4 linked regions of the Schizosaccharomyces pombe genome follow. The gene in region 2 interacts genetically with the main gene of each other region. Each region holds a gene or a part of one and is shown on either strand. Other genes may lie near its edges.

The links.
Region 1: mutations in reb1 (region 2) and dad2 together harm fitness more than expected from each alone (negative genetic interaction), as found in Schizosaccharomyces pombe (2 studies listed by BioGRID).
Region 3: mutations in reb1 (region 2) and cdc10 are lethal when combined (synthetic lethality), as found in Schizosaccharomyces pombe (2 studies listed by BioGRID, with this or other methods).
Region 4: mutations in reb1 (region 2) and scs7 together harm fitness less than expected from each alone (positive genetic interaction), as found in Schizosaccharomyces pombe (2 studies listed by BioGRID).

Annotation. Positions count from the first base shown.
Region 1 is NC_003424.3:2,782,389-2,789,530, forward strand, and holds dad2 (DASH complex subunit Dad2), read right to left. Parts: upstream 3,905-7,142; 5' UTR 3,761-3,904; coding exon 3,625-3,760; exon of another isoform or gene 3,594-3,624; intron 3,297-3,593; coding exon 3,148-3,296; 3' UTR 2,771-3,147; downstream 1-2,770. Other genes in the region: serine/threonine protein kinase (CK1 family) Cki3, read left to right, coding at 1-546; porphobilinogen synthase Hem2, read right to left, coding at 1,553-2,542; dynein light chain Dlc1, read left to right, coding at 5,682-5,690, 5,740-5,850, 5,911-6,126; protein Pop6, read left to right, coding at 6,702-6,989. UniProt on the Schizosaccharomyces pombe protein: Component of the DASH complex that connects microtubules with kinetochores and couples microtubule depolymerisation to chromosome movement; it is involved in retrieving kinetochores to the spindle poles before their re-orientation on the spindle in early mitosis and allows microtubule depolymerization to pull chromosomes apart and resist detachment during anaphase.
Region 2 is NC_003423.3:191,252-195,430, forward strand, and holds reb1 (RNA polymerase I transcription termination factor/ RNA polymerase II transcription factor Reb1), read right to left. Parts: upstream 2,359-4,179; 5' UTR 2,292-2,358; coding exon 1,315-2,291; exon of another isoform or gene 1,274-1,314; coding exon 947-1,273; intron 896-946; coding exon 685-895; 3' UTR 501-684; downstream 1-500. Other genes in the region: asparagine--tRNA (Asn) ligase Slm5, read right to left, coding at 37-163, 238-425; ubiquitin ligase Mfr1, read left to right, coding at 3,427-3,547, 3,594-4,179.
Region 3 is NC_003423.3:2,760,241-2,769,495, forward strand, and holds cdc10 (DNA-binding transcription factor, MBF transcription factor complex subunit Cdc10), read right to left. Parts: upstream 3,561-9,255; 5' UTR 3,351-3,560; coding exon 1,047-3,350; 3' UTR 926-1,046; downstream 1-925. Other genes in the region: GARP complex subunit Vps52, read left to right, coding at 1-925; mmp2 (endopeptidase catalytic subunit), read right to left, coding at 4,075-4,225, 4,293-4,442, 4,515-4,756; PAN complex subunit Ppk26, read right to left, coding at 5,080-5,127, 5,234-5,311, 5,359-5,890, 5,971-6,196, 6,234-6,344, 6,390-6,539, 6,582-6,726, 6,766-6,861 and 4 more; INCENP-like protein Pic1, read left to right, coding at 9,031-9,188, 9,232-9,255. UniProt on the Schizosaccharomyces pombe protein: Major component of the cell cycle transcription factor complex MBF (MCB binding factor, also known as DSC1), that controls G1-S phase specific gene expression. Involved in the control of rRNA production, via interaction with pol5.
Region 4 is NC_003424.3:4,055,179-4,063,207, reverse strand, and holds scs7 (ER sphingosine hydroxylase Scs7), read right to left. Parts: upstream 6,433-8,029; 5' UTR 6,251-6,432; coding exon 6,193-6,250; intron 6,173-6,192; exon of another isoform or gene 5,905-6,172; coding exon 4,919-5,904; 3' UTR 4,393-4,918; downstream 1-4,392. Other genes in the region: cpy1 (vacuolar carboxypeptidase Y), read left to right, coding at 1-1,698; SPOM_SPAC19G12.09 (NADH/NADPH-dependent indole-3-acetaldehyde reductase AKR3C2), read right to left, coding at 2,102-2,956; RNA-binding protein Rsd1, read left to right, coding at 7,191-7,244, 7,336-8,029. UniProt on the Schizosaccharomyces pombe protein: Ceramide hydroxylase involved in the hydroxylation of sphingolipid-associated very long chain fatty acids. Postulated to hydroxylate the very long chain fatty acid of dihydroceramides and phytoceramides at C-2.

The sequences.
Region 1 (7,142 bases), on a different chromosome or scaffold from region 2:
TACATGATTTATGCTCGGAATTTGGGTTACGAAGAAGCTCCAGATTATGACTACCTACGAAGTCTGTTCGACAGTTTACTGCTTCGCATCAATGAAACTGATGACGGAAAGTATGATTGGACTCTCCTAAATAACGGAAAAGGATGGCAATACAGTGCAGCTAAGCAACATGTCGTCCAACGTCGACATACTCAGGGTACTAATAACAGGCGGCAGTCAACTATTCCTCCATATGCTCGTACTCGCCAGAATTTGCTCTCTAGCCCAAGTAAGCAAACTCCAGTCAATAACGTGGTTGATGCCAGTGTTGCGACGCAGAAAGATGGTATACCAGGGAAAGCGGCTTCTCCCCAAGTTCAACAACAACAGCAAACTTCTTCCGCTCAACAGCAGCAACCGCAACGGGTGGAGCAACCTGCTCCTCAGACTACCCAGCCTACACAGGTAGACACTCAACAAGCTGCTAAGCCTGCGCCCTCGAAAGAGAAATCACGAAAGAAGTTCCATCTTCGCTTACTGTCTTGCTGCATATCGAAACAAGAATAGTCATGATTATTCAACGTCTTTCCTTCTTGTCTTTCACTGTTATGTCGATACTTTTTTTATTTTTTTCCCATTATTAAATATCCGCTTACAATTTGCAACATAATACGTCCATACGATTCCTTCTTTAAATTAATTCTTCCGGAATCGTAATGTGACGTTAATCCCGGCTGCTTAAATTACATTGCTTACTGTTGTTCAAAAAAAAAATGCTCACTAGATGAGATTCTGTGTTTGTTGGCATTCTTTTTGATTTTGAAATTTTTGAACGTGTTGAGGATGAAGATTTTGATTCTAATTAGTACTAATTGTTGTCCTACCTTATATACATAGATTCATATTATTACTCCAATGCATTATGCATCATATGCAATTGAAGAGCGTAGAAGCATGTTCCTTGTCGTTGCATTTTACTTTTGAATCATTTGCAGCTGTCATACTTTTTCATTGTAAGTTATATCGATATATACATAAATAGTCAGAAGCTTCACTGAGCTACCAAATGTTGACTCATAAGGTAAAAGATGTTTGAGAAGAACATGCTCCAATTACTTTGGGTGAAGTATAGTGAATATTTAATTTATCTTATCATGCTAGAAAGTTATAGTCAGTAAACGTGGATAATGTACTTTACTTTATTCTAACTGCCATGAAGTATTGAGACAAATCTATCAAATTATATAAATTAAATATTAAATTTTTAACATGTCCGTTCATCGCTTGCAAAAGGAGTCAATAGGATATCACGATAATTTGGCAACCTACGGTTGTCTAAGATAAAATCTTGTTCTACACACGAATTTAAAGTATTTTAAAAGAAAGAAAAACAATTTCTTTCGTAAATAACTGCTACAGATTATAAACGAAAATTTTTAATAAACAAGAACCGGTAATCGCAGATTCGAAAAACAATTTCATAAGTGAAACTCTAGACCATTAAAGAATATAAACAAAATAATTTTTCAATCATGATAATTTTGAAGATGATTGATTTCGCATTATTTTTTGTTTAATATTCTAGCCATTCCAATAATTCAGGAGTAAAGTAAGTCAAAACTATGTTAGCGCCAGCACGCATAAAGCCATCCATGGTTTCCATCACATGTCTTTTTAATTCAAATACGCCAGCGGCAGCAGCAGCATGAATAATGGCGAATTCGCCTGAAACTTGATAAGTAGCAATAGGAAGGTCATCTGCTAGCTTAGAAGCCATTGCCAAAATATCGAGATAAGGTGTTCCCGGTTTTACCATAATACCATCAGCACCCTCTCTAACATCGCGAAGAATTGCTCTTTTGGCCAAGCCACGTGCATTACAGGGAAGTTGATAACAGCTGCGATCACCAAATTTTGGGGCACCATTAGCAGCAGCTCTGAAAGGACCAAAAAAACCAGAAGCGAACTTTGCAGAATAGGAAATAACGCATACTTTATGAGACAGTTCCAACTCTACAAGTTTCTGCTTAATCGCCTTAACACGACCGTCCATGCAGTCACTAGGAGAAATTATTTGAGCGCCTGCCAAGGCATAATTTCCACTAACTTCAGCAATTCTCTCAACGGATTTAGCATTATTGATAGTGCCATCTTCATATAACAGACCACAGTGGCCGTGATCAGTATACTCGCAGAGACAAACATCACAAGCAACAACCAGCTCCGGAAAAAGGTGACGAATTTCTTTAACGGCTTTAATAACTGGTCCATTTTCGGAATCGGCCATGCTACCACAATAGTCCTTTTTGGACTCGATGACACCAAACAGAATTACACTACGAAGACCTTTTTTGACGAGAGGACCCAAAAACTCTTCCAATCTATTAACACCCCATCTAAATTGATTAGGCATGCTATCAATGGCTTCCTTAGCATCATCTATTTCGGAAATGAAGATAGGATACATTAGAGATGACTTGGTAATGGGACGTACACCTTGCCATTCACGAAGCAACGGGTTTGAATACCCAGCATGCAAAAGAGAACTGATATCAACAGGCATATTAAATACTAACTGACAAAATTTATTTGATTTTTCCTAAAGATGTAAAACTGCGTAAAAAAAGCAGATTTGTGACAAATGGAACTAATGGACCAGCAAAAGCGCCTTTTATTGGTTATTTAAAAAAGTTCTAGCGGAAGATCAACAAGATTTCCTAAGAAATATTTTTAAAAAGGTAAGTGGCAGATGGCGAGAGGTTGGCGAAGGTTAAGATAAATAAGTTTAACTTTTTTTTAAAAAATCGGGCATCGGACCACGATATTTGTTGATTACATAACAATAGTATCACTCCTGAATAAATTGTTTGTCCTTGAAGAAATTAATTGTCGTAAGGGAATGCTGGGAGTATTCAAACAAGCGAAACAGGACGAACGCCAAAAGAAAATGACCAAATGAAAAATTTAGATATCATTTAGTTTACAAGGTGATCTCATTCTCCATTTCATTAGGAAGTGAAGATACTTGGAACTTGGGTTTGCTGTCGGCTTTACCAATTCTGAAATAGAAGAAACAATATGAATAAATGGACAGAACAATAATATTTATTTTAACCAATTCTTGGCCTTTTCTACTTCAGTGAGAAATTAAAAAGAGTATTTAAGTCTTTATACCTCTTCAACATCGCCTTGCTCCGTAGCAGATGCGTTGGTATTTGAAGTAGAAGGAGGAATTCGGACTAAAGCTCCTGAATGTTGGGATGCTATCTGTATTGACTCAAAAATGCTGGGCCAATTATTGAGAACAGTAGCAACAGCTGATTTTGTTAGTGATTTGAGTGTCAAACATTTATTATAATGGATTAAAAAGAGTCGTCAAGCATGTATGAGTAGTAGTGAAAATAGAAAAAATAAATAAATAAACAGATTATATTTTTTACGTTTAGGTGAATTATTGAGAGGTAGAAGTTCATTTAGAGACATGTCGGCAAATGATTGCTTTTATTTGCAATCCTGCAGATCCAATCAATTCACTTGTTTCTTTGCTTTTCTCAATGTAATGATATTTATACTTGTTCACATGAATAGCACTTAAACAGATTGGTGACAAGGCTCTTTTATATACTTTCCTCGTAATGAACATACCTTCACTTCCATCTGTTAAAGTTTCCAATTTAGCAGCAAGCGTTTCTATTTGTTGAACCATATCATTAGAAGAATCTCTTAGTTTGCATATTAGTTCGTATTCCTTTTGCTTTTCCTCAATCCTTGCTTGAAGCATGTTCACGCCAAATGTTTGTAGAAGAAGGTACGAAATTTACTAGATTTATCTCCTACACCATATAAGGCGATTTCGGTTTTGTAATTATACGTTTAAAACAAATAATTTCCGTTTCTGGAATTTTATATCTCGGAATGTATTACTAATAAAGAGGTTGATAATAGAGACTAACAAAAAATATAATGATTGATTTTACTCAATTTTAACCATTTGTTTTCATCTTTAATAAATTAGTTAGTTCATTAATTTAAAGTAATAATGAATTTAGGAAACTATGTTGAATAGTGAATATAATTACTCAAATAATGGGTCAAGTTTAGCTAGCTTATTATATCCATATTTTACTAAGTAAGTATGCATTGCTTCATCCCTCTAAAGTTTTAAAGAGGATCAAAACTGTGCATATTCTCTACTATTTCTTCTTTTATTTTTATTTTTATTTTTTTTTACACAAGGTATAATGGGCTTAAAAGACTTTTAAGATTTGGGTTCGATAGTATATTCTTTTGGTCAACAAGATTGTCAACGTTCCGATACATAAGGAAATGAATTTTTTATTCTAGACAGGATGCAACTTCCACGTATGTTTTCTAAAATTTGAACCGTATTTGACTAATTTAAAAATTCATAAAATGTCTCATCCACTATTGAAGTTTCTTCAATGATCGGTTCCAACGGGTCGTTAAAGAATACCCAACTTTTTTAGAACAAATTATAATAGAGTGGCTATTATCCATTTCTAATTAACAACTTTTTAACATACATCAAACCCTTGTTTACATGGTAATCGAGTATTTTCCTTCGCAAAAATTCACTATTACTCCAAATACTCAGTTACTGAATTGTTCGATCTCACAATTAAATTTCGCGCAGTATGTTATTATATTCTATATACAGTTTTAGAATAACGCACTTTATACATGGTTTTCGGCAATAACGTTTACATTTATATAACAATTAAACAAGTTATAATACCGTTATATCACAGAATGTCCCTGTAAATAAAAGTCAGTAAATAATCTATAGGAAAGAAAAAAAAGGAAAAGGATAAAAGGGTTAGGGGATTGAAAGGATCATTGATTTAAAATCTTTGGGTAGTAGCATCTTTATGTATCGCAGTACCGATGAGATCTTCTCCATTTTTGTAAAATTATTGAAAGAACTAATGGTAGGAATACTAAACATAAATTATCTTGTAGTTTTATTCAATGATCAAATAGTTAAAGATTTGGATGATTTCGCTACATTGATACTTGGATTCTATGAACAGCAAAACAATCGCTTTCCCTTCATGCTGAATTAACATTTCGATAACTAAAAACAGATTCTATACACTTTAAGTTCAGAGAATTTAAATTGTTGTTTTTTCCTTCGGCCCGTCTTCAAAGAAACACACTCAATTCATTACTGAAACTGGACTTGCTAAGAGTATTGTTAAAAGCGTAAAGCACACATTAATGTCTTTTGGTAATCCAAACACCAGTAATTATGTGTAATTATGAGTTTTTTCGATACAATTATTACGGTTAGAGGAAGACATGGTTTCCAAAATCATTATGCATTTCTTTCGAAATCAATTATCGATGTTTCAACCATCAACTGTTTTCAAATTGGTATTAATTAAAGAATGTAAGAAATAGAAATAAACGCTGTTTTCCTTTAAAGCAATACTTGATGCTTTATTTGAATTATCTCATTCATCCCAACGTGAAGTTGACGATTCGCTGTAAGCGAAAAATCCTTACTTAACTTCAGGTTTAAAGCAAAAAGAAATCAACAATAAAAAGAAATGTTAACGTGAGTTATGTTCGCGTTGAACTTTGTATCGATGGGGTTGTCACCGTTAAACGTCGTACTAGCTGTGGGTGTCTTTATCTCACTGCGTACCCTCCTTGTACTCATCAAAATACCCCATTTCGAAATGAGCTGTGTAAGTCGTCAAATACGCGATTCGTTTACTAATTTGATTATGAAAATAGCCTATAGATTCCAAAAAACTTGAAGAAATTTGCCTAGAAGCTGCTCAGCCGGTTTTGAAGGCTTCCGAATATGACGGAGACAAAACAGCTGAAATGAATCAATCTGTTATTGTAAGTTCATTTTATTTTACAAATATCTATGTATGGTAGCTAACTTTATGTCTCATTTAGTATGCCGTATTAAATGCTTTGAATAAGGAAACCCAGTCTTACAAATGGATTGTTAGTTCCACTCTTGTACAAAAGCTTCCCGAAGATCATCCTTCTAGAGGCGTTCACGCAGCTCACGCTGCTTGCTGGAATTGTGAAAAGGATGGAATGACTACTATCAAAGAGAGCGGTGAGGCTATTGACGTAGTATTGAGCATTATGTGGATCTCCATTTAATTACCATATTATCGAAACTGTTCCAATCATGATCATCTTCAAAGACCTCTTTGTTTCATTCCCTCTTTTTATCCCCTGGTACCAGTTTTTGCCTTAGATGCAAATTGCCTTTAACTTTGCAATTTACTAACTTTACTATCTACTCTTCTTTTCTACTTATTCCTATTATATGCAATCTACGATAGTTACGTTTCTTAAAATTCAGACATTTGTGAGCGCTCTGTAACATGTTCGTATTTTATAAGCATTTTGGTGTGTATACGATTCGTGTTCGTCCTTTTTCCAAAGGTTACAAAGGACGTTGAATCGTGTCAGTATTAGCTTGATCGAGCTTTACTTTGCTTGAACTCTCTAAGACTAGCAAGAAACTGAGGTACTTACAATAAAAATAGCGAAAAAGATTTTAAATTTGTTATATCATATACCTTTGCTTTAAGATTAAAATCATACATCTTTTTACAAGGCAGTAAAATGTTGTTTCAACTATGTAATTTATTAATTAATGTTTGGGAGCACCTGTCTAACTACCACGTTATTAGCCTACTAAACGCCATGCAGGCTTTTGCTTATAAACTATGATAATAGAGAAAAGTATAAATGCTAAGCAACTTTCTTTAAAGTTGTGGGATTCTTTTGTCAAAGAAAAACAAGTTTCTTTTGTGGCTGAAGGAGATGCTACTGTAAAACTAGTAAGTCTAGTTGAACTATTAAAACGTCGTTGTAACGAGCAGAAAATTCCCTTTAATCAAACGATTGAATTAATTCCTAGCGAGGAGCAGTCTTCTGACACTTTGATACACGGAAATCGGAGATCACTTCCTCAGTTGAAGATCGACCTACAGATTTTGGAGCATGACAGCTAAATAATACGCAAATTTTTACTCTTTTCAAAGTTACCAAAAATATTCTTCTTTCATTTGTATTCATACTTTATAGACGCTAATTCCCTGAACCAATCGATTGACAATTTACCAGTTTACGAGTTATATTACTGTTACTTTGTGAGTTTTTTGTTA
Region 2 (4,179 bases):
TAGACTTGCAGTATATTCAATTTTGAAAGCACATACATCATCATTTATCTGGCCGTAAATTTTTATTTTCTCAGCCAACAGTTCATACTGCTGCAATCCAAGTTTTGCGTTTTTAGAAACTGCCAACTGGCCTTCAATATTCACACTAGCACCATATGATAGCCTTGATAATAAATTAATGTTAGTAGGAAAAAGATATCATATAATTTAGATTTTATGTCTCCTCCTCAACCATACTTCTTACTCTGTTCAGGCGAAGTCACCACTTGAAGGGCTTGTTGACATGTACCATCAGAAACCATGGCAAAACAAACATTTTTTAGTTTTCGGATAGATCGTACCCAGCCGTTTATGCTTATTAACTCTCCATTATGTGGGTGATGCCATAAAGACTTTAAAGTTTTTGGTAGTTGGAATTTATTCATACGGAATTAGCAAACAATTCAATTTTAATTATTAATTTACAAAAAATCCTCTATTGCTAAGGAAATTATGAATTCTTCCAAAAACTATTCGCCAATAACTAGAAATGCAAAGAGCGGTAGTAGTAAGGCGACTTTACATATCCTCAGTATGAAGGTGTTGCGTTAAGAATTAAGTCATTTTAATAAGGACTTGTAAAAAGATACAAAGTTACTTAAGTAAGTTAAAACAAATTTTTTCGTTCAAAAAATTGTAAGGACGTCAATTGGAGAATCCAGAAAGTACCACTTTAAAGTCATCAATGGCTGACTTCGTGGCTTCTAGAAGAGGAAGATTGTCGTAACTTGGTATCATTTTTTTCAAATTTATAAATTGAAACAACATCTGATCGCGTGTCCATCGTCCATTAGCTTCTTTTACGATATTTTCCCAATGAATTTTACCACCATTGTTCAATAACGAGTCGTAAATCCTTAAATTAAAATATTAGCAAGCAAGAGAAATTATGTAGGTCAATACTTACCTTTCTAAGAGCCAAACGTTTTCTTGAAGTTCAAATTTTGAAGCAGCCTTCGTCAATTGCTGAAATTTATAACGACACTGTAAACGAGTCCTAGTACCTAACATTTGGGCAACAAGCGTCCAATTAATGTCAGAACTTAAGTCTTCACGGTTACGGAGTTCAGCAACTATTTGCAATAACTGAGTTTCCTCTTCCAACGACCAAGCATTTCGTTTCAATTTATCGCCAAAACGTACTACGTCGCGCCAACGATCACGACAATCATTAGGCATTCGAGCCATTTTACGACCAATTTTCGTCCAGCATTTACCATGTTCAACAACATTTCTAAACGTTAATGATTTTTGAATAAAAATATAAACACATACTTTCTTAATTCTTCATCTTCTTCTTTGCTCCACACACAGCGATCTTCAAACGGGTTATATGCACGTCGTACATGGTGATAAATACTCTTGGCATCACGATGGGAAAGCTTTTTATATAAATTAGAGTAAAACATTCTGATTGTTTTTGGACATTTTCCTGCCCAAATTTGATTGCAAAATTGATACTCGGACCATCCTTGATCCATAATAAAATTATGTACTTCTTGGGAAATAATGGCAGTTTCCTGGACCCCGAAATCCCCTCTTCCAGAAGAATTTTTTCTACTATATTTCTCATAACCTGGGATGTTGTAAAGGGCCCGGAGGTGCCGTAATATTGTTCTTCTGGTAAAACTAGGCATTTCTTGAACCAATAATTTAACTAAAGAAGAGAGTGGCCCGTGAAGTCTTTTTTCGTGTAGAGAATCGGCTACCTGTGTATGGTCTAATGAATAGGTTTGACAGAAGTTTTGCATTCGTCGTTCTAAATAGTCCCAATGTTCCGCAGTCCATCTAGCACTACCTTTCAAAAATGGATCCATATTGGTAATTTCCGAAGGGCTTATTAAAATAGAATCATTTGTTTGATTCGAAGTAGAGTTTCTCATGGCATTCACACCTTTGTTAACTTTTGACAAGAAGGCGCTCGAATCCACATTATCATTTCCTAAAGCTATAGAAGAGGAGGCTAAAGCATCCAAATGAATGGATGTATTTTGTTCAGAAAGGTTGGAGTCTTGGGCTTGAAGAGACATTAAGGCCTCGAAATTGCGATCATTTTTACCATCTTCTTTAATGCTTAACGCGGGAGAAAACTTAGGCTCTATTGATCCAGAATAGTCATTGTTATTTGTTTTCAATCCTTTGTTAAGTGGAAAATCATCAAAATCATTCTTTCGTTTCCTTGATGATTGCAAAGAATCCACGCCAATAAATCCATGAATCTGAAGTTCCGGATTTAATACGGAGGTATCCATAAAGATTATATTTTTGAAGTACTATAATTGAGTAATCACTTCAACTTATCAATCGCTAATATCGTACAAAACGCTTCGTGAGCTTTAATTCGCAGTTTGCTAGCACAGCGATTTAGGAAGGGTGGGACACAAACTGAGGAGTGTAAATCTGAAATAAAGATGGTTTGTTATTAAGGGATATATCGACACGCTGCATTTCCTTATAGGCAATGCTAAGTAGTACAACGAAAACATTAATGATATACAAAAAATGTTGTTTTTGCTTACCACTTAGTACAAAAAAACTCATATTTATTATCGTCCTAAAATATGAAATTGTACTATTAATCAAATAAACAAGAAATGCAGAAATATACCAATAGTATTTAATTGGAAAAATTAGTAGCATACGAAGATTTGTCTTTAAAAATGAATATCCCAAAAGAAATACAGAAATAGTTAGGAATAAATCAATTGAAATGAGAATGAGGAGAAAATTTTTTTTGTACTCACATACATGGTAAAAAGTATTTGCATTCGATAGTAGTTGGAATTTTTTTGAACGAATCTATAGCACTATTTACTCTGTTACAAAACAACTAAAATAAATGTTTAATTAATTGAACATTTTGAAGAAATTGGGTTCTTGGCAATAAGTTTACAAGACCGGGATCTGATGATCATAATAAACATTCAGAAAACAATGGGTTTGGCACATCGTGGTCAACTGATCATTGTTGTTGTTTTTCTATGAACATCATATTTTAGGAGTTCTCTTACCATAACATCACCTTTTGCTGGTTGATGACTATAATATTGTTATTGAGATATTTTTTATCAACAGTTTGTTTTGATGAGTGCATTTGTTTAGTTTAAACGGTAGCATTAGGTAATACGGCGATCACAGGATAGCTTTATTTTTAGCAGTTATACAGAGTATTTAGCAAATGTTTGTTTACTGCAGTCATTATAGCTCATAATTAGCATTTTTTCAAGCCACCTGGTTTCATAATTCTGTAGCAATGTCTTGCAGACGGGCAGAAAAAAGCACTCAGTAAAAACAAATAAAGCATGGAAGGTATTTATTCACGAAATAGGAATCTCAACATTTCCCTTCCATCCCGACTAACTTCAACTTATAAAGAATTGGTTGACAATGGGAGACCGATTCATTCCCATTCGCAACGTTAGCAATGAGTTCAACTTTAGTTTCCAGTCATTCAAAGAATGTGTGTTAAGCCATGGATCAAATCTTAGGCGCAAAACCTCTGGCACTAGTATGTACCTTTTTTAGTTTTATATTCCCATTACTAACGACAGCAGTTCAAAGGCAATTCATGGAGCTACTAAGCATGGAGCTCTTCGGTTCACAAGCATCTCGCTCTAGAGCCTTCTATTATGGAGAAGACAAAAGGAAAATTGAGAAGAAAATGTTGGATACACCTGATAGAAAATCATATTCTCTATCTCCTATTTCACCGCAATCTCAAGATATGTTGCGGCAACCACAAAAGCCCAAAAGAGCTTTTCCAAAAACTCCATATAAAATCTTGGATGCACCTTACTTAAAAAATGACTTTTATTTAAACTTGCTTGACTGGGGCCAATCTAATGTCTTGGCAGTCGGACTAGCAAGCAGCATTTATCTCTGGTCAGCAGCAAGTGGTAAAGTGGTTCAATTACATGATTTCGGAGCAACAAATCATGTCACAAGCGTCTTATGGACAGGTAAAGGAACTCAATTAGCTGTAGGGACAGATTCAGGAGTAATTTACATCTGGGATATCGAGTCTACGAAATCAGTCAGATCTTTAAAAGGTCACTCCGAAAGGGTGGCAGCATTAGCATGGAACGATAATACCCTCACAAGTGGAGGCAAAGACGAAGTAATTTTACATCATGACCTAAG
Region 3 (9,255 bases), 2.6 Mb from region 2:
GATGAATTGGTTTTATCTATACCACTTCGAACAGTACTCTAGGTTTTTGGACAAAGTTCATGTCCTTAAGGGAGAAACTATTCGCGTTGAAGAGGATCGGAAAGGACTCTTCAACCTTTCCAAAGGAGCACAACAATCTTACGGGAATCAAATGCTCTCAGTAAACTTGCGCCCTCAGGATTTTGATATGAACTCTGTGTTGACAGCATCTACAATGCATCATATTGAATCTTCCCCACAATATATTGAACGTGTTTATTGCTCATGGGAATTAGTCTTGACGGAACACGTCTCTTCTGAATATGCTTTTTTGCTGGAGTACTTTAACCTCTCTAAAGATCAGCAGGCTACCGTTTTTGCCGCTATCTTTGAAAAAACTTTACATTTTTCACGCAAATACATTACAGGATTGATATCAAGCAGTATCGATTGCATAGGTATTTTGAAGTCCATTCGTTTTACTCAAAAATTAGCTTTACAGGCGCAAACTAATATAGTGCCTGTTATTGAGCCACACTATAACTCCATGATTCTTTTTCTGTGGCCTCGCTTTCAAGCTGTCATGGACATGCACTGTGAGTCACTCCGTAAAACTAACTTATCTGTGAAGCCAGAAGAAATCACTTCGCGACCTCATCCACTTTCGCAGCGAGTAGCTGAACTACTTTATAGCCTTTCGATGCTAAGTGTTAATGTCGTAGAAGCCGAGCCTGTTGCACGAAGTGCTTCAAGACTAGCTCAGGATTATGTGAGCATGTTACAAAACCTGTGTAAAACAGTTAATGACAAAAGGAGACAAAGTAGGTTTTTGTCCAATAATTATACCCTCATTTCGACTGTTCTTAGCGGCGTATCGGGAAATTTAGCTATAGAGCAAAAAACATATTTCGAAAAGCTTAATGAAAATTTAACTAATTTCCAATAGCCAAGATTATTAACATATAATAAATTACGTTTTATTCATTTGGTAGGATTCTATATTAAGAAAAAAATTAAAGTAGTTAATTATTTCAGGACACTTTAGTGGTAAACCACAAAAAGCAATATTATGCTTGATGTTCTTTAACAACACGTAAGAATCCAGCAACTCGACCCATATCTACTTCTCCCTGTTGACCGTCACTTTCCACGGCTTGTAACAAACTTTCCAATAATGAATCCACTCGAGATTCATCGACACCGGTGCATAGGGAAACAACCCGACGGCACTTTGATTTTATGTTGGAATTTCGTTGCCAAAGTTTGTTCGCTAATTCGTTTAATCTGGCTTCATTTCTCTCATAAGCAGCAACTTGAAACTTCAATTCAGCAATAGATAAATTTTTGTTGTTGTTTTCATTGACAGTAAAAGGAGCGTCAGCATCCAATGATAATGAATCGTGTATTCCATTGGGATCAAAAGATTCATAAAGATTACTTAATTCACTTTTCTGTTCTTCGATCGAAGTCATAAGATTTTTACAACGTTGCCTTAATTCAAGAAACAAAGTTCTTTGCGTCTCGGACACGTGTAGTTGTTCACGAAGATCGGACAGCTTTTTTGTAGATTCACGCAATTGGGTGTAGGCTGAGTCAATCATAGACTGTTTTGCAGCCATTTCATCCTGAAAATCTTTATCCAGAGAAGATATTACATCGGTCACAGAGGCGATAATGTCTCTACTCTTTTGACGAGGAGGGACAGCAGTCTTTTCTTTGCTGGACAGATTTTCACTCATAAGGGAAACTTTTGTTTGTTTTGAGTCTTCGGGTTGTTTTAATGCGTTTTCAACAAAAATTCCAAAATTTGCTACGCTTAACCCTGCACGATTAGGAATATAAGCGGAAGCTCCGGCTTGCATTAAAACTTCAACAATGTTCTTATTTCCAATTCTTGCTGCGATATTTAAAGCTGTATCCCCATTTTTATCTTGATGATTTAAATAGTTTATGAAGTCTTTCAGCATATATCCGTTGTTACCACTTGCATGTTTCTTTGCCCAATTTAATAAGGTTTCTAAGTAATATCTCGATGCTGAACCTCGGCCTTTTATACCTGCAGTAAGACAAATGTGATGAACGACGGTCCGTCCAGCTCGATCTGTACAGGGAAGAGATGCGTAAAGCAAGTCTAGTAAATCACCAAAAGAGTTCTGATTGAGATGATTGGTTACCAAAACCGATCTCATTAATGCCGTTTCTCCTGTGAGGTTGCCACGTAAAGGATTAGCTCCTTTATGTATTAAGGCTTGTAACAAAGGCATTTTGGCAACGGCTGCTGCCCAGTGCAGAGCGGCGTGTCCAAGTTCGTCAATGGGGACATCCAAATCTAATGAGTCCGACAGCTTTGCTTCTAAGGCGCTGGAATCAGCAAAGTTTACATCTAAAAAGATAGAGGTCAAAATGTCTTTTGATGTATGATAATCCTGCATAATATTCTGATCAAGTGGAGGAAGACTAGAAACCAAGGATACAAAAGAAAGTGAATGGTTCAACCTTGGCGTATCTGGAAACAATGAAGAGGCCTCATTATCATTTAACTGTGAGGAGGGATGTAAGTCTTCATCACTGACATCAATTCTATGCCGTTTTAAACGCTGTTCAAGGATAGGTGGAGAGGTGGAGAGGTAATTGTTAGAGCGTTTAACATTTTGGCTATCAATTTGAGTTAAAGGTAGTAAGAAAGAGGAAGAAGGTGAAGGTGAACTCTGCATATTGTTTATAGTGTGCACCCCATTCTTTGAAGACTTGCTAGGGTTTGAAAAATTATGATTCCTCAAAGGGGATCGCGTATTAAAAGAAGAAGTATTTAAATTTTTGGAGATTGAAGAACTTTCGATTTGTTGCTGCTTTGAAAATTTGGGGAATAAATCAAGATTAAAAGAAATTAATGGTTGTAAAATTTCATAAACCCCATATCGCTTTGCTATAGAAATTGCTCGATCATATGGAACCCATACTCCATCTATTTGAGGGTGTTTGGAGTCAACATTCTCATAGTCCCCACTCTCGATAATATCATCCAATTCTTTGGCGTTTTCAGATGACGAAGTACCAGCAAGTCGAAGTATTTGAGAGATATTAAAGTAAGAATCTGGACATCTTCGAAGAGCAACATTATCCCCACAGCTAAGCTCCATATATTTCATGCCTGAACATTCGACAGCATACAATTCTACGGGTCGGCCATCACGTAAAACTTGGGAGTTAATAAAAATCCTTGAACTAGAGTCTTTTAAAGTAGATGAATCGTTTAGTTTGTTTATATTTCTGTTTGAAAGGGGTTGTGATGGCTCATCCTCTGGGCGTTTTTGGTATGAAAAAGAATCGTTCCCCAGCTCAAACTGGCGAATAAAATTGGCTGAAGCCATTATAGTATATTAAAATAAAAAATGCCGAAAAAATATCGAATTTTTTATAAAGGGCAGCACGTTTTTCTCGAAAATAAGGGTGCTGAACTGACCATGAAAGAAGACTCGAGCTCCTCACCACTTGGTTTGTTTAAGAGATTGTGAATTCCTTTCTTTTTCAAATAAATAGAAGTAATTTTTTCGGATTTCGTGTTATACACAAATTCGCTCTGGGAAGGTTCACGCAGCTGTATACATTTGGTACGGCGTTAGACCGTATTCGAAGTAACGATATATGAGGCTTCCTAAGGAAAACAAAGGACTACTTCAATGTTCGTTTCTTCTGGGGGTTTTATTTAAAGGCTACTTAGAAATGGAATTCTTTCTCATTTCAAATACCCTGTTGAAAAATTTCCAACTTTGCTATACTCAACGACTTTACTGTTTCGGGATATGCAAAAGAGACGGATTTTTCAGTCAATTCTAATTTTCCCTAAATAAAAGTTTTGATGTTGAGTATGAAAAAATTATATTTTTTTATTGGTATTTCTAATACAAAGTAGCTTCCAACTTCCATCTTTTTCAAATAGGTAAATAGATAGACATATTAATGACGTCATATATAGAACGCGACGCGTCGAAATAAATTAAATTTAAGGATAACGTGTTCCTTAAAAGAAATGTAAATAAGCACCAACCAGCATGGAACTAAACTGTCAAGGAAACAGGTTCACTGTGGTGCAGCTTACTTAACAGAACGTTTTCCACTTAAAAACACTGCATTCTTTCGGAAACCTTCATGATCAATACGCCCTGCACGAGAGAAGGGAAACAAAATTGCAATCACTTTGGCAGTGATGAGTCCTGTCGATACTGGGCCAAATTTGTTACTATCACTGTAAACTAGTTAATATCTCTATAGAAGAAAACGAAAAAGTAAAAAAACAATTGTTGGAAACCTACATAGAATGAAATTGTTCATCGCCTTCGACCCACACATGTCCCTCGGGAACGGGTACTAATGACAACTTTTTAGGAGGTCTCGTTTTCATGATATCGTATTCTACTCCTAGAACTCTTTTTACCAATAGTTCCTCTGGGTTTTCTGGAGAGCTTGTTGCTTATTAGTAACGATAAAAAGGGAAACTCAGTACCGAAAGACCCTGCAACGATCCAAGAACTTACCGTAGTATAACTACATCTCCTCTTTTGTAATCCTTATTCCATTTCCAAAGTAGTACCCTATCTCTCTGCAGCATGTTTGTCTCAGGGTTAAAGGCTGGTTTCATAGATCTACCTTCAATTGTACCGACGCTGACTACATGTTGTTCAACGAACATTAATACGGGTACCCATAGGGTAATTCCGACTAAATTTTTAAAAAATACTGATTTAAAAGATTGATTTCGAACGAAAGGGTTTGCCATTTTTTGAGGACAACTGCTAAACTCTCTCCTCTAAGAAGTTTATGATTAACCGTCTGTATGTACCTTAACAAGCATGGGAGTTTCCGTAATTAATAATTAAACCAGGAAAACGTATTAATGAATTTTATCTGATAAGTGTCAGGCTTCTATTCCTGATCGTTTTTGTTTCAATACGGTGTGTTGCAGTAGGTAATTCAAAACCACATTAAGCTTAGCTTCCTTCTAATATTATTATAGCGAAAACTATTATTTACTTAAATTAACAACCATGGTAATAGATACAAAAAAACAAATAAATATTCTGTAAAGAAAAATGTTTTATTTTAAGAATTTATTTCCATTTCGTAAACGTTGTCCAACCAAGCTTTTAGCTACATTTGTTATTGTTAGTAATTTTGCAAACAAACAGGCTATATAGTGTGGAAAAGTAGTCTAATTTACTAAGCACCCACTATGGCTTTTTGAGCAAATACTTACCTCCCCATAAGAAACTGAAACACAATCAAGTTCATCTCGGGAAATTAATGCGATGGCTTGATTTATACCGGCATCAAGCTAATGAATTAATAAATGCAATAATGAGAAAAATGTAAAAAACTTACCTTTCCCAGGCGATTCAGCACTTGATATAAATCTATCACAGGACACTCATCTTCATCTATCTGATGGAAAAGATAATCTCGTAATAAGTAGATTAATGAAATTTCTTTTTCTCGTGCGATAGGATATTCACGAGAAGCTCTATTATTATCAATAATAAACATAATCTTGCACAAAATATTAAAAAATCGACCGTGTTGGAAAGCGTCCGAAATTTTTCTCTCCATTTTTTCGCATTCCACGTATGGTGAACTCATTATAGGGAAAAAACTTTCTATGTGATTTTGCAAAAACAACTCCAAGTTTTTATCCTCAGGAACTTCCGATACAAAGTATAAAACCGCTTTATAAAATTCCCTCGAATATGTACTATAAATTGCTCGTGCGGCTGAAGACATGTCCATATCAGTTCTTCCAGTAGCTAAATTCGCAATCACAACTCCAAGATCTACAAAATCCTGCTTCTTTCGTTCCTCTAATGGAGGCTTGTTTGACACTACCAATTCATAGTCAGCGCAACCACTAATACGAATCCTTTACACGTTAGTATAAGTCATTAATGAATTAAAGAAATGTATTCCATCAAAACATAAAAAATGTTCAAAAAAAAATACCTTTCAGTTTGATCCACAAGGATTCTCGACGGAGTAAGCTTGTTGCAAGCAAACCCGGATTTATGTAGATATGACAAAGCGATAGTAAGCTGGAAAAAATAATTCCATAACTCTCGTTCTGGAATTTTTCTATTTTCCTCCAACTTGACAGAATTTTTAGAATTGTTTAGGTAGAGCTCACCAAGGGTTGTAGTACACGGATAAAAATCATAAATTAATAGTAACGCTTGATTAATTAGTAAGGTTTAGTAAAATAAACTTACAAGAATCATGAAATGTATCAGTATGAAAAGCAGAATGGAATGGTACGATATTTGGATGAAAAACATTTTTAAGCTTGTCGACAGTCGACGTATCAATATTAATTGAACAGTCTTTTAAATATATTAGCAATTGCAATTTATGAATCTGAAGGTTACCTTGGAGTCGTTTCAAAACGTAAGCATTCCCATCGATGGAAGAAGTGCATTTGTACGTCCAAGAAGAGAATCCAATTTGCTCTTTATACCGATAAAGCTTTGTATTCAGTGGCGCCAAAGAAGTATATGAAGATATAATAGACGGAAGCGCTAAAATATTAGTATAAAGGAAGCTAGACACAAATTAAGTACCTGAAATTGTCTGACGGGATGCCTCGCTCTTTCTCTCGATTCTTTCTCTAGTCGTATCATCAATAAATAGACCGTTTACAGTTCTTTCATAAGGAAGTAAAGTTGGCATGGGAGAAGGTTGCGGATTATATAAATTGTACAATGTCTGTTGTTGTCAACAACAATAATAAGGCTTTAGACTTACGGGTTTAAACTGGTTTTGACGAGTATAATAAACCCCAGAGTCATCATGAAAAGGCTCATTGACCAACATAGATGCATTATTGTAAGGATTAATAGCCTAAAATTACAGTAAAATTAGTAAGAAAAATATAAGCTGTTAGCCAGACATACATGACTACCTGGTGAAAGCGCAACAGGGGTACGCTCTCTAGATAGAAAAAGAGATTTTTCTTGTGATTTAGGAACAAATACTGCAGCGCCAGCAGCCTTTACTGGTAAAGCGCGAACAGGTTGAAAAGAGGCCGACGCAGCATTCAGTTTTTTCTTACTAGCGAGGTTAATTATACGTACAAAGCCTTAAAAAAAATCATACACTGAGTATTGCTCCAAATTCTCTGAAGAAGGGATGAAAGGCTACAAACAATCGTAAGCAAGAAGCTTCTCTGAAGTTAAGAGAATACGCCTATACTTACACCATCATGTCGAAAAGCACATCCATTTTCTGAATGCTTACAGGATCCATAAAGTAAGATATTTCTACATAATGTTCGTTTAGCTTTGGAATGGTCTATTAAAAATGGTGGTCAGTCAAGTTTTGCTTTGAATTTCCATTTACCTTTCAAATCAGTCACTGACGGAGACCTGGAACTCTCCCTAGAACGGGAAGTTGGCTTTGGGCTTGCAGGAGAATTCTTCCTCACACTCATCCTGTCAATTTCCAGGCAATCCCAAGCTAACAGTCTGAGATTATAGCAATTTAGTTACAGGTCGTGGAATCAGTAAGTCCCGGACAATACTAATAATGCAGCACAACGAAGTTTACTGTAATACTTTGCAACGCTACATTTTGTTTATATAACAATTTCATAGTAGTAATATTTAAGCATTTGAGAAGACAGTAATTCTAATTTATTTTTTATCTGTTCTTTACATGTAACGGGCAGTAACTATTTCGAAAACTTTAACAATAGCAAGTGTTATGTAGCAGTTGAACATGTCTTCGTAATGCTGCTATCTTTCTGCGATCACTGTAATTTAATTGCAAATCATAAAACCAAAGTAACTGAATTTTTTTTATCTTAACTTCTTCCTTAGTGCCAACTTTTGCGAATTGTTTCAAATGCAAAGCTATGTTTTTCAAGCAATTCGGCCTCCCATATATAGCCATTGCAAGTAAGAAAACTTAGTTCGCAGTTATAAATTCCCTATAGAAACTAACAGCTTGCCAAATTCACACTCCCCTGTTTTGCTATAAAATGCAATAAAAAATTACTGAAAGGGGTGGGACTCGAACCCACGAGCTTTCGCACTAGTGCCTTAAACTAGCTCCATAACCACTCGGACACCCTTCCTTTTTTGATCTGTCAGACAAAAAAGTATATATTATTTATTTAATTAATTAAAGAAATTTTAGGAATTCAGAAAAATATTTAAATTGCTAAAAAGAATAATAACAGACTGTCAATTATAAAAGCATATTTATTACCCTATTCTCTTTACATTGTCCTCTAAAACAGAGTAAGGAATGAAAAGTCTAATTGAGTTAAAATAGCTCAAAATGAAAAGAGAACGGTGAATTTTGTATTGAATAAGCTTTTAATTTTTTGAGAATGGTTACCCATGTTTTAATACATTCTTGAAAACTTAAAGACAAGTGTATGATATTTGGCATTTATCTCTGTCTGATTGGAAAAATTATTTTTAAAAGCTATGGCAAGTATGTGAACAAAAAATGGAGAAAATGCGTGAATATTGTAGATCGAATCATTAAAAAAATCCAATAAATGACAAGCGTATAAAGCATGACAAATTGCTTGTAGCCGTTCAATAGAAACTTTTATGTCTGTGCCGCTTGCTATATACTAAACATAAACAAATGGTGAAAGATATTTGAACACAAACTAGTTAACTCTGTCTGCTGATCAAACGAACGATAGGTTGCATGCATTGGGTTGCTTATTCCACTCAATAATTACTGCAATAAAATCAGCATCGGCATCTCGAAAAAATGTATGGCTTAAAGTGTTACTTCGTTAAAAACCTCTTCGTCGTTAACCGATGTCTATATTCCTAACAATTGTTTATAACATCGGAACTTGATATTTACATTTAAATCTTGAAAACAATAAACCTTTTGATCATTTGTAAATTGGGAAAGCATAATTGTTTATAAATTTAGTTGGAAGCTTAGGTATACAACTACTGTTGTATATTGTTGACATTTGATTGCTTCCACCACCGACCACTCTCCAGCAACTAGCTCATTCTTTATATGTAACCAAACAGGATGGGCTCTAATGGGTCAGAACTATGGTTTAATAAGGAGTTGGAATACTCCCAACAACTCACTAATGGAAAAATGAAAGAATTCTTCTTCCTTGTATCTGAAACCATGGACTGGTTGAATGAACACATGCTTGAAGTTTCCAAGTTACAGCTAGAGTCGTACGCATTTGTTGTTTATCATATGTGCTAATTAGATGGTTAGGGATATATATGAATTAGTGAGAAC
Region 4 (8,029 bases), on a different chromosome or scaffold from region 2:
CATGAGCTTTTGGTCATTGAGGCTTTCGCTGACCTCATCAATTCTGTTCCTGTTGAAGAAATTGCCGAAGAGTTTTCTCGCTTTTTAGACACTCTTGGTATTGAATACTATGGTAACATTCCTGTACATATTCAAGAAAATGCCCCAAAGGATTCATCAATTCCCCCCCTATTTGAATTCGACGATGATTTGGAGTTGAGTGATCTCACTCCTGAACAATTTGCCTACCTTGAAATGCTCAAGGCTGAAGGTATTGATCCTATGACTGCTTTCCGTGACCAGAGTCATCCTGCTAAGCCATCTAATGCTCAACCTGCTGATTCTTCACGTCCCTACGCTGTTTTTTCACAAGAAGAGAATGGTGAACATGTAAATTTAAAGGCTTTCCCTGATCACACTCTTCGCGTTAAAGATTCCAAACCTGAATCACTTGGTATTGACACTGTTAAGCAATACACCGGTTACTTAGATGTCGAAGATGACAGACATCTTTTCTTCTGGTTCTTTGAATCTAGAAATGATCCCGAGAATGATCCCGTCGTGTTGTGGTTGAACGGTGGTCCTGGTTGCTCTTCCCTTACTGGTTTGTTCATGGAATTAGGTCCTTCTTCAATCAACATTGAGACTCTTAAACCCGAATATAACCCTCACAGTTGGAACTCCAATGCTTCAGTTATCTTTTTGGATCAACCTATCAACACGGGTTTCAGCAACGGAGATGACTCGGTTCTTGACACTGTTACGGCTGGTAAGGATGTTTATGCATTCTTGAACCTTTTCTTTGCCAAGTTCCCTCAGTACGCTCATTTGGACTTTCACATTGCTGGTGAATCCTATGCTGGCCATTACATCCCCCAGTTTGCCAAGGAAATTATGGAGCATAACCAAGGTGCTAACTTCTTTGTTGCCAGCGGCTATGAAATGGAGAAGCAATACATCAATTTGAAGAGTGTCTTGATTGGAAATGGTTTGACTGATCCTTTGGTCCAATACTACTTTTACGGAAAAATGGCTTGCGAGAGCCCTTACGGTCCTATTATGTCCCAAGAGGAATGTGATCGCATTACTGGTGCCTATGATACCTGCGCTAAGCTAATCACTGGCTGTTACCAGACTGGCTTTACTCCTGTTTGCATTGGTGCCTCTTTGTATTGCAATAACGCTATGATTGGACCATTTACTAAGACTGGACTCAACATTTATGATATTCGTGAAGAATGCCGTGACCAAGAGCACTTATGCTACCCCGAAACCGGTGCAATTGAGAGTTACTTGAACCAAGAATTTGTTCAAGAAGCTTTGGGAGTTGAATACGATTACAAGGGATGCAATACTGAAGTAAACATTGGTTTCCTTTTCAAGGGTGACTGGATGCGTAAGACTTTCCGTGACGATGTCACCGCAATCTTAGAAGCTGGCCTACCCGTTCTTATCTATGCCGGTGATGCTGACTACATTTGCAATTACATGGGCAATGAAGCTTGGACCGACGCACTTGAGTGGGCTGGTCAACGTGAGTTTTATGAGGCCGAATTGAAGCCTTGGAGTCCTAATGGAAAGGAAGCTGGTCGTGGTAAGTCTTTCAAAAACTTTGGTTATCTTCGCCTCTACGAAGCTGGACACATGGTTCCTTTCAACCAACCCGAAGCTAGTTTAGAAATGTTGAACAGCTGGATAGATGGTTCTCTTTTTGCTTAAAGTGTCATCAGTTGGACATTTTACATCTACTGAATAGTTGATATGAACCGAATATGACTGACTATTGGCTAATATACAGTAGCCATAATTAATCTTTGCGTTTTATTAATTAAATTGATTTTAATATTTGAAAGATATAATGATGAATTACATAAATATTTGTTTTTGTAGTAGTAGTAAGTAACGCTGTTGGAAAACTTTTCACTGTAAGTATTTCTTCAATTCTCGCGGTTTGTGTCGTAATAGTAACAACATAGTTATAATTCCCGACCAATATTACTACGCCGATAATTACTGCATACAAAAATTTTTGGTTTAAGATGTAAACAGTCGATTGTAATTGAAATAGATTGTCCATAACTAAGTGCTTCGTAATAAAAATTATCTTGATCACATAAAAGTATTACTCATCCATGTGCTTCATAAATGTACGCTTGTGATGTTGAACACCTAAGGTACCAAGTTCGTCAATGTCAGCCTTGTCTAGAGTGAAAGAATCAAAATTCAAGCACTCCTTCATACGCTCAATTTTTGAGGTAGTAGTGATAGGTATAACGCCTTTAGAATAGGCCCACTTGAGAAGAATTTGAGTATCAGAAACATGGTACTTGCTCTCCAATGATTTAGTGAATTCAGCAACAGGACCTTGCGCATCACGAACCAAGGGAGAAAGAGGGCCATAACCCTCAACGATAATTCCTTTACTCTGGCAAAATTCTACAAGAGGCTTCGCGGCCTTGTATACTTGAGGGTGAAATTCGATTTGGTTGACACGAGGAGTAATAGTTGAAGTTTTCAACAGCTCCTCTAAGTCGGGAATACGAAAGTTAGAAACACCAACTGAGTGGACAAGACCGGTTCCCAAAGCCGTTTCCATTGCTTTCCAACCTTCAGAAATGGGTATTTTCTTTTCATAGAAAGGAATAGGACTATGCAAAAGGTACAGGTCCAAATAGTCAGTACCAAGCTTACGTAAAGATTCGTTGAGGGCTTCAGGAATGTTATCGACATTATGCATAACCTTGGAAGTAATAAAGAGTTTGCTTCTTGGAACATTAGCTTCCTTCAAAGCCACCCCAACTTCCTCTTCGTTGCCATATACTTCCGCGCAGTCGATATGAATGAAACCAGCAGCAAGTGCATTCTTTACCGAATCTACAATGGTTCGATTGATTTCTCCCTTTTCTTTCTTAAACAAAGCTGTACCAACCCCATAAGCAGGGACGGGAATCTTAGGGCCCATAGCAGCGATAAGCATGTTGAAAATGTTAAGAGTACGAAAGAACTTGAAAGTAGAAAAAGAGTAAGCTACAAAGAGGCGCTACTTTAAAAGTTGCAGGATAAAAATTGTTAAATAGAAATGAATGGAATAAACGTTAAACCGAGATTTTTGCAAGCAAAAGAAAAGAGAATCGCAGCAAGAATTAATAAATTTCTTCTTTAAAAATGCTCTGTTTAGGTGAAAAGAGTGCGAGAAAGGGCCGTATATCGCTATTTATATAGATTTCCAAAAACTTAGTCAGATGACATCAGCCAAGTCTGGCTTGGCATACAGAATATCTGACTGACGTTGTGCAGCATCTAAGAGAGGAGTCTTTGGAACTTTAAAATGAAGAATTATCTGATCAGATAAGGAACAAACGTGTAACCAAAAGCAGATTTGTTCCAACTAAACAGTGTAAGTTGAATAGAAAACAGTTTTACAGGCAAGAATAAGTTGAACGTTAGATTCGGTATTTAATTGATTTAGCAATATTCAATTCTTGAATGAATCCCTCTGTTTTAGCTGCGAGGATTATCTTCACCACCAGATGAGTTGGCGGTTTTTACAGCATATTCTTACCTATAATGTTAATAAATGTAAGGTAGTTACCATTAAGCTGTAGCGTTATAATAGCAATGCTTTAATCATAAACAATGCTTACTCAGTTTTGCTAGATCATTTTTTACTATAGTCTTTATCGGCAAGAAATTGAGGAAACTCCTTCAAGGCATGATGATCGTAATCATTTAAGAAGTCTTTGACATGTATTATGCATCTAAATGTCAGAGGTTGAGAAAAAAACAAATAAACAAATCTGAAAGTGTCAGGAAAATGACTTGGCAATAATTCAAGCTTATTCATGTTAACCAACGTCAATAGTAATGGTTAATAACTCGACGTCCGCTTAACAAACACTAGGGTAAATTTACCTGCAACTTGTAATTGAGGAATTCTAAACGCATTCCCCACAAGCTAGTTTCTGTTAACAAATATTTTTATAGATTTTGTCTAAAATCTATTTTCTGGTTAAATAATCAGTAAATTGCTACACTTTTATTCACAAGAAAACAAATTTTTAAAATAAAAATTTATTAGTGAAATCCTATATGATGATTTAAGTTACCCTAATACTCAAAAAAGGAAGGTTGTCCGAGTGGTTATGGAGCTAGTTTAAGGCACTAGTGCGAAAGCTCGTGGGTTCGAGTCCCACACCTTTCATTACGATCTTTTTAATAAATTTTTTTACATTTTATAAACAAATGTAAAATGACCCTTAAATATAGTTAAAACATATATATTGTGGATATCTCTATTCATCTTCTTCCTAAATTTTTCGTCTCGGCGTTGCATATTTGGTCAACAAAAACTATTCAGCGCTCTTATGATATGGAGATGCTTCTACAAGAAAATCATTTCGCACTACAAACAGATGGGGTGGTAAAAACAATTAAAAATTCGAATTATATTTAAAAGACAGATAAAAGGAAAAATAAAATAGCAACCTTAGACTCAAATTATATAGCCGATAGTCAAGATAATATTATTAAGTTCGACTTAACAAGGTAAAGTTTGAAAACTTGTTCAAAAGAAACCAGAAAATAGTATTAATAGAAAAGAAGAAAGACAAGACAATTTCAATGTGGGATACAAGATGCTTTAGCGAGTGGATCAATCAAATTAAATCAAATTTGATGTTTCTGCAATTCAAATATAATACACAGCTTTAAGGCACTATAATAAGGCCTAGTTAAAGTCAGAGAGAAAATGGGGGAAAATTGCTTAGTGATTTCAAGGGTAAAGAGAGGAGAAAAAATTTGGAAAGCAATTAAAAAAGAAAAGAAAAATACAACAAGATTTATATAGCACACAAAATTATTGATAGTTAAAAAGGACCAAAGAAACTTTTAACACCTTGAAAGCAATTTAGCAGCTAAATGATTCAAACGCAATCACAATCTACTTAGCCTTAGTGCTGATCTTTCCCTGTTCGTTGAAAAGAGGTCCCTCAGTTCCAAAAACACGGTCCCAAAACCAGCTGGTGATACCATAGGCAGACTTGTAATCCTTGTAGTGATGGTCCAAATGCCAGGTCTTCAAATCAGTCAAGTAAGCATTGGGCATACGACGGTGATGTAAGAAATAGTGGGTAAGATCGTAGAAAACGTAACCAAGAATGGCACCAGAGAAACCAGCAACACCAATGTAGTGAGGAAGAACAAGTTGAATAAAGTGATACCAGGGAGTGGCAAAGATAAGGAACAAAGCAGGAGGCATTACAAGACGGTACTTGTCAGCAGGTAAGAAGTGGTGGCAACCGTGGAATGCGAAGTGCATAGTCAAGAAAATAGGATGATCAGGGGTGTACTCATCCAAGTGGAAGAGGAAACGATGCATAGTATATTCAACCAAAGTCCAGGTGAATAATCCAATGATGAAGAAGGTGATAGCAACAGAGAAGGGAATTCCGGTACAGGCGTACAAGAATCCATAAGTGACACAGGGAACCCAAATCAATGGAATCATATACCAAGGGGTCTTGGTAAGAGGCTCCAAAAAGTTTCCAAACAAAGGAGCAGAACCGCTGCCACGGTAATGACGGGGACGGTGAACTTGGTCCAAATAAACATCCTTCTTGATGTTACCAAACAAAATTTGGGGCAATAAAGGCTTCTTGAGGTCAAGGAAATGGTTCTTCTCGAAATCCTTGTCAAGATCGGTAGGCTTGACAATGAATTCATTGCCATAACCGACACCAATGTTCTGGTCGACAAGATCACTGAATTCCTTATTCTTCAAAGGAACCTTAGCACTTTTCAAGATCTCAACAACAGCTTCAGAGTGCTTGGACTTGGAGGTAGCATTAAGGATATCAGCAACCTCTTGGCGGTGATAGCGACGAAGCAAGTCAGCAGCGTCCTTGTTGGCAACCAAGTAGTTGGTGACTAATGGAATGTTAGTATAAAGAACGATACATGTATTTTGGTGTAACTAAGGCAAAGGGGGAAAGGTGAAAAAAAGTTAAAAGCACAACGAACAAAGAAAAAAGATAAGAAATGGCACATCTCCCACAATGGATCTTTTGCCAATAAGCCTTTGCTATATGCGTTTTCATTGTTTTTTATACATTGCCTCTCAAACACTCTGTTGCCGAGAAAAAATTTTAGTCCTTCAACCAAATCTCCTTCTCAAAACCCAAACACCCTGCCATTTCTCCTTGTTTAAATACTTACCATCGTATTCAGTGCCGTCAGAAAGGATAACACACTTTTCACTAGTAACAGAGGCCATTTTGGAGATGGGAGTATGAATTGTTAATTCGTGATAAAACTGTAGCAAGCGTGTTTCTGATGAGTTTGATAAACAAATACAGTAAATATTACAACGTAGCAACTGATCCTATGATTCTTTACTTGGATTTTTGTCCAATTGATCAAAATGTCAGTTCTTTGTTTGTGTTGCGTTAATGGCACGATGTTGTGGCGTGGATGCAGTAGCCTATATATGTCGCAGGAAAGGGCAAAAAGGCATTGCGGGGCGAACCAAAAAATCGTGCTATTTTTGATCGACTTTTCCGAAAAATGGTAAGACAACGGAAAACAATATTTACCGTATCGCAAAACGGGTTCCGAAACTGAACACCAGAAAATTGCACTCAAGGGCCTATACACAGGGAAAGAACAGACGAGTGAAGTGCTTTACAGATACAATTCATTGATTTATTCATAGTAGACTAAAAATTATTATTTGCGAAAAAATACTTGAAAAGAGAAAACCTTAAGTTGATCGAAATTTATTAACTTTTCGTGATTTACTTTTCGTTGGTTTGGTTAGGTATAATTTTGTTTTCCTTCCTTTCCGTTTCTTTGCTTCTTATTGTCGGTAATTGTTTTTAGCTTGGAATTTCCTTATTCCGCTATTCCTCGCTTTCTTTTTTGTTTGTACTAAAATTTCTCTCATCTTTTATCGCTTAGGCAGTAGAATATTCCACTTTTTTTTCCACCGAAAGAAAGAGGACAAAATAGCTCAAAAGAGTACTCATTATTAATATTTTTTAACAAAACAATTCGTGTTAGAAGCGACGAAAGCTACTAGACTGACAAAACTCCATTTTTACTAGCTTACTTAGTTTTCCAGTCGAAGTCTGTTCCGATCCTGTCAGAGTTTGTTGTATTGAAAACGAAAATAAACGAACGTATTTTCCACGCATAGATAAACAGATCTAATCTAAATGCAGCTGGACGCGGAAGCCTTGGCTGAGGCTCCTTTTCGTAAGCAAGAAGTGGTACGTTTACAATTTTTTTCCTTCCTTCCCGCCTTTTCCCTTTGTTTTTTTGTCTTCCCGTGTTTATTGTTTTTACTAACCCTTTTCCTAGCCGCAAAATCAAGAAAATCAGCAAAAGGCATCTTCTTCTTTTCATGAATCCTCACTCACCTCTTCCACTCATAGTCATCCCTCTAACCCTCCTCCACCGCCTACACGGTTGCATGATCGCTCTTTCAAACCCGTGTCTAAAAATTACGAAAGTGAAGGTCGTCTAACTCCTCCTCCCGTTTCAATGGGTTATCGGTACGCCAGATCTTCCAAACAATCTTTTCAACGAGAGGATAGCGGTTATAACGATGATGTAGTTACAAATTCCTCAAGTCATCGCACCCCAAGACACCATAGGAGATCATATAGTCCAAGGTCCGATTATGGTAGTCGCTCTCCCTCTCCTCACTCTTCTGTAGATTCTCATCAAAGTAGATCACCCGTTCGTTCTCGCGATCGCGATCGCAGTTCAAGGTCAAGTCGAAGCCGCCATCCCTCAAGTCGTAGTCGCCATCGATACGATGATTATTCACGCAGCCCTCCTTACTCTTCGCGGCATAGTCGTAGTCGTCGCCGCTATGAAGAACGCTCCTCTCGTTCTTCTAGAGCCCATGATTATGATTATGAGGACTTGAGGGATGATGACCGTTCACATGAGCGTAAGAGAAGTCGTTCCCGTCCTCGTGAACGCTCCTCTAAACTTTCAGAGGAAGAGCGTGATCGCCGTACTGTGTTCGTTTCTCAACTCGCAAATC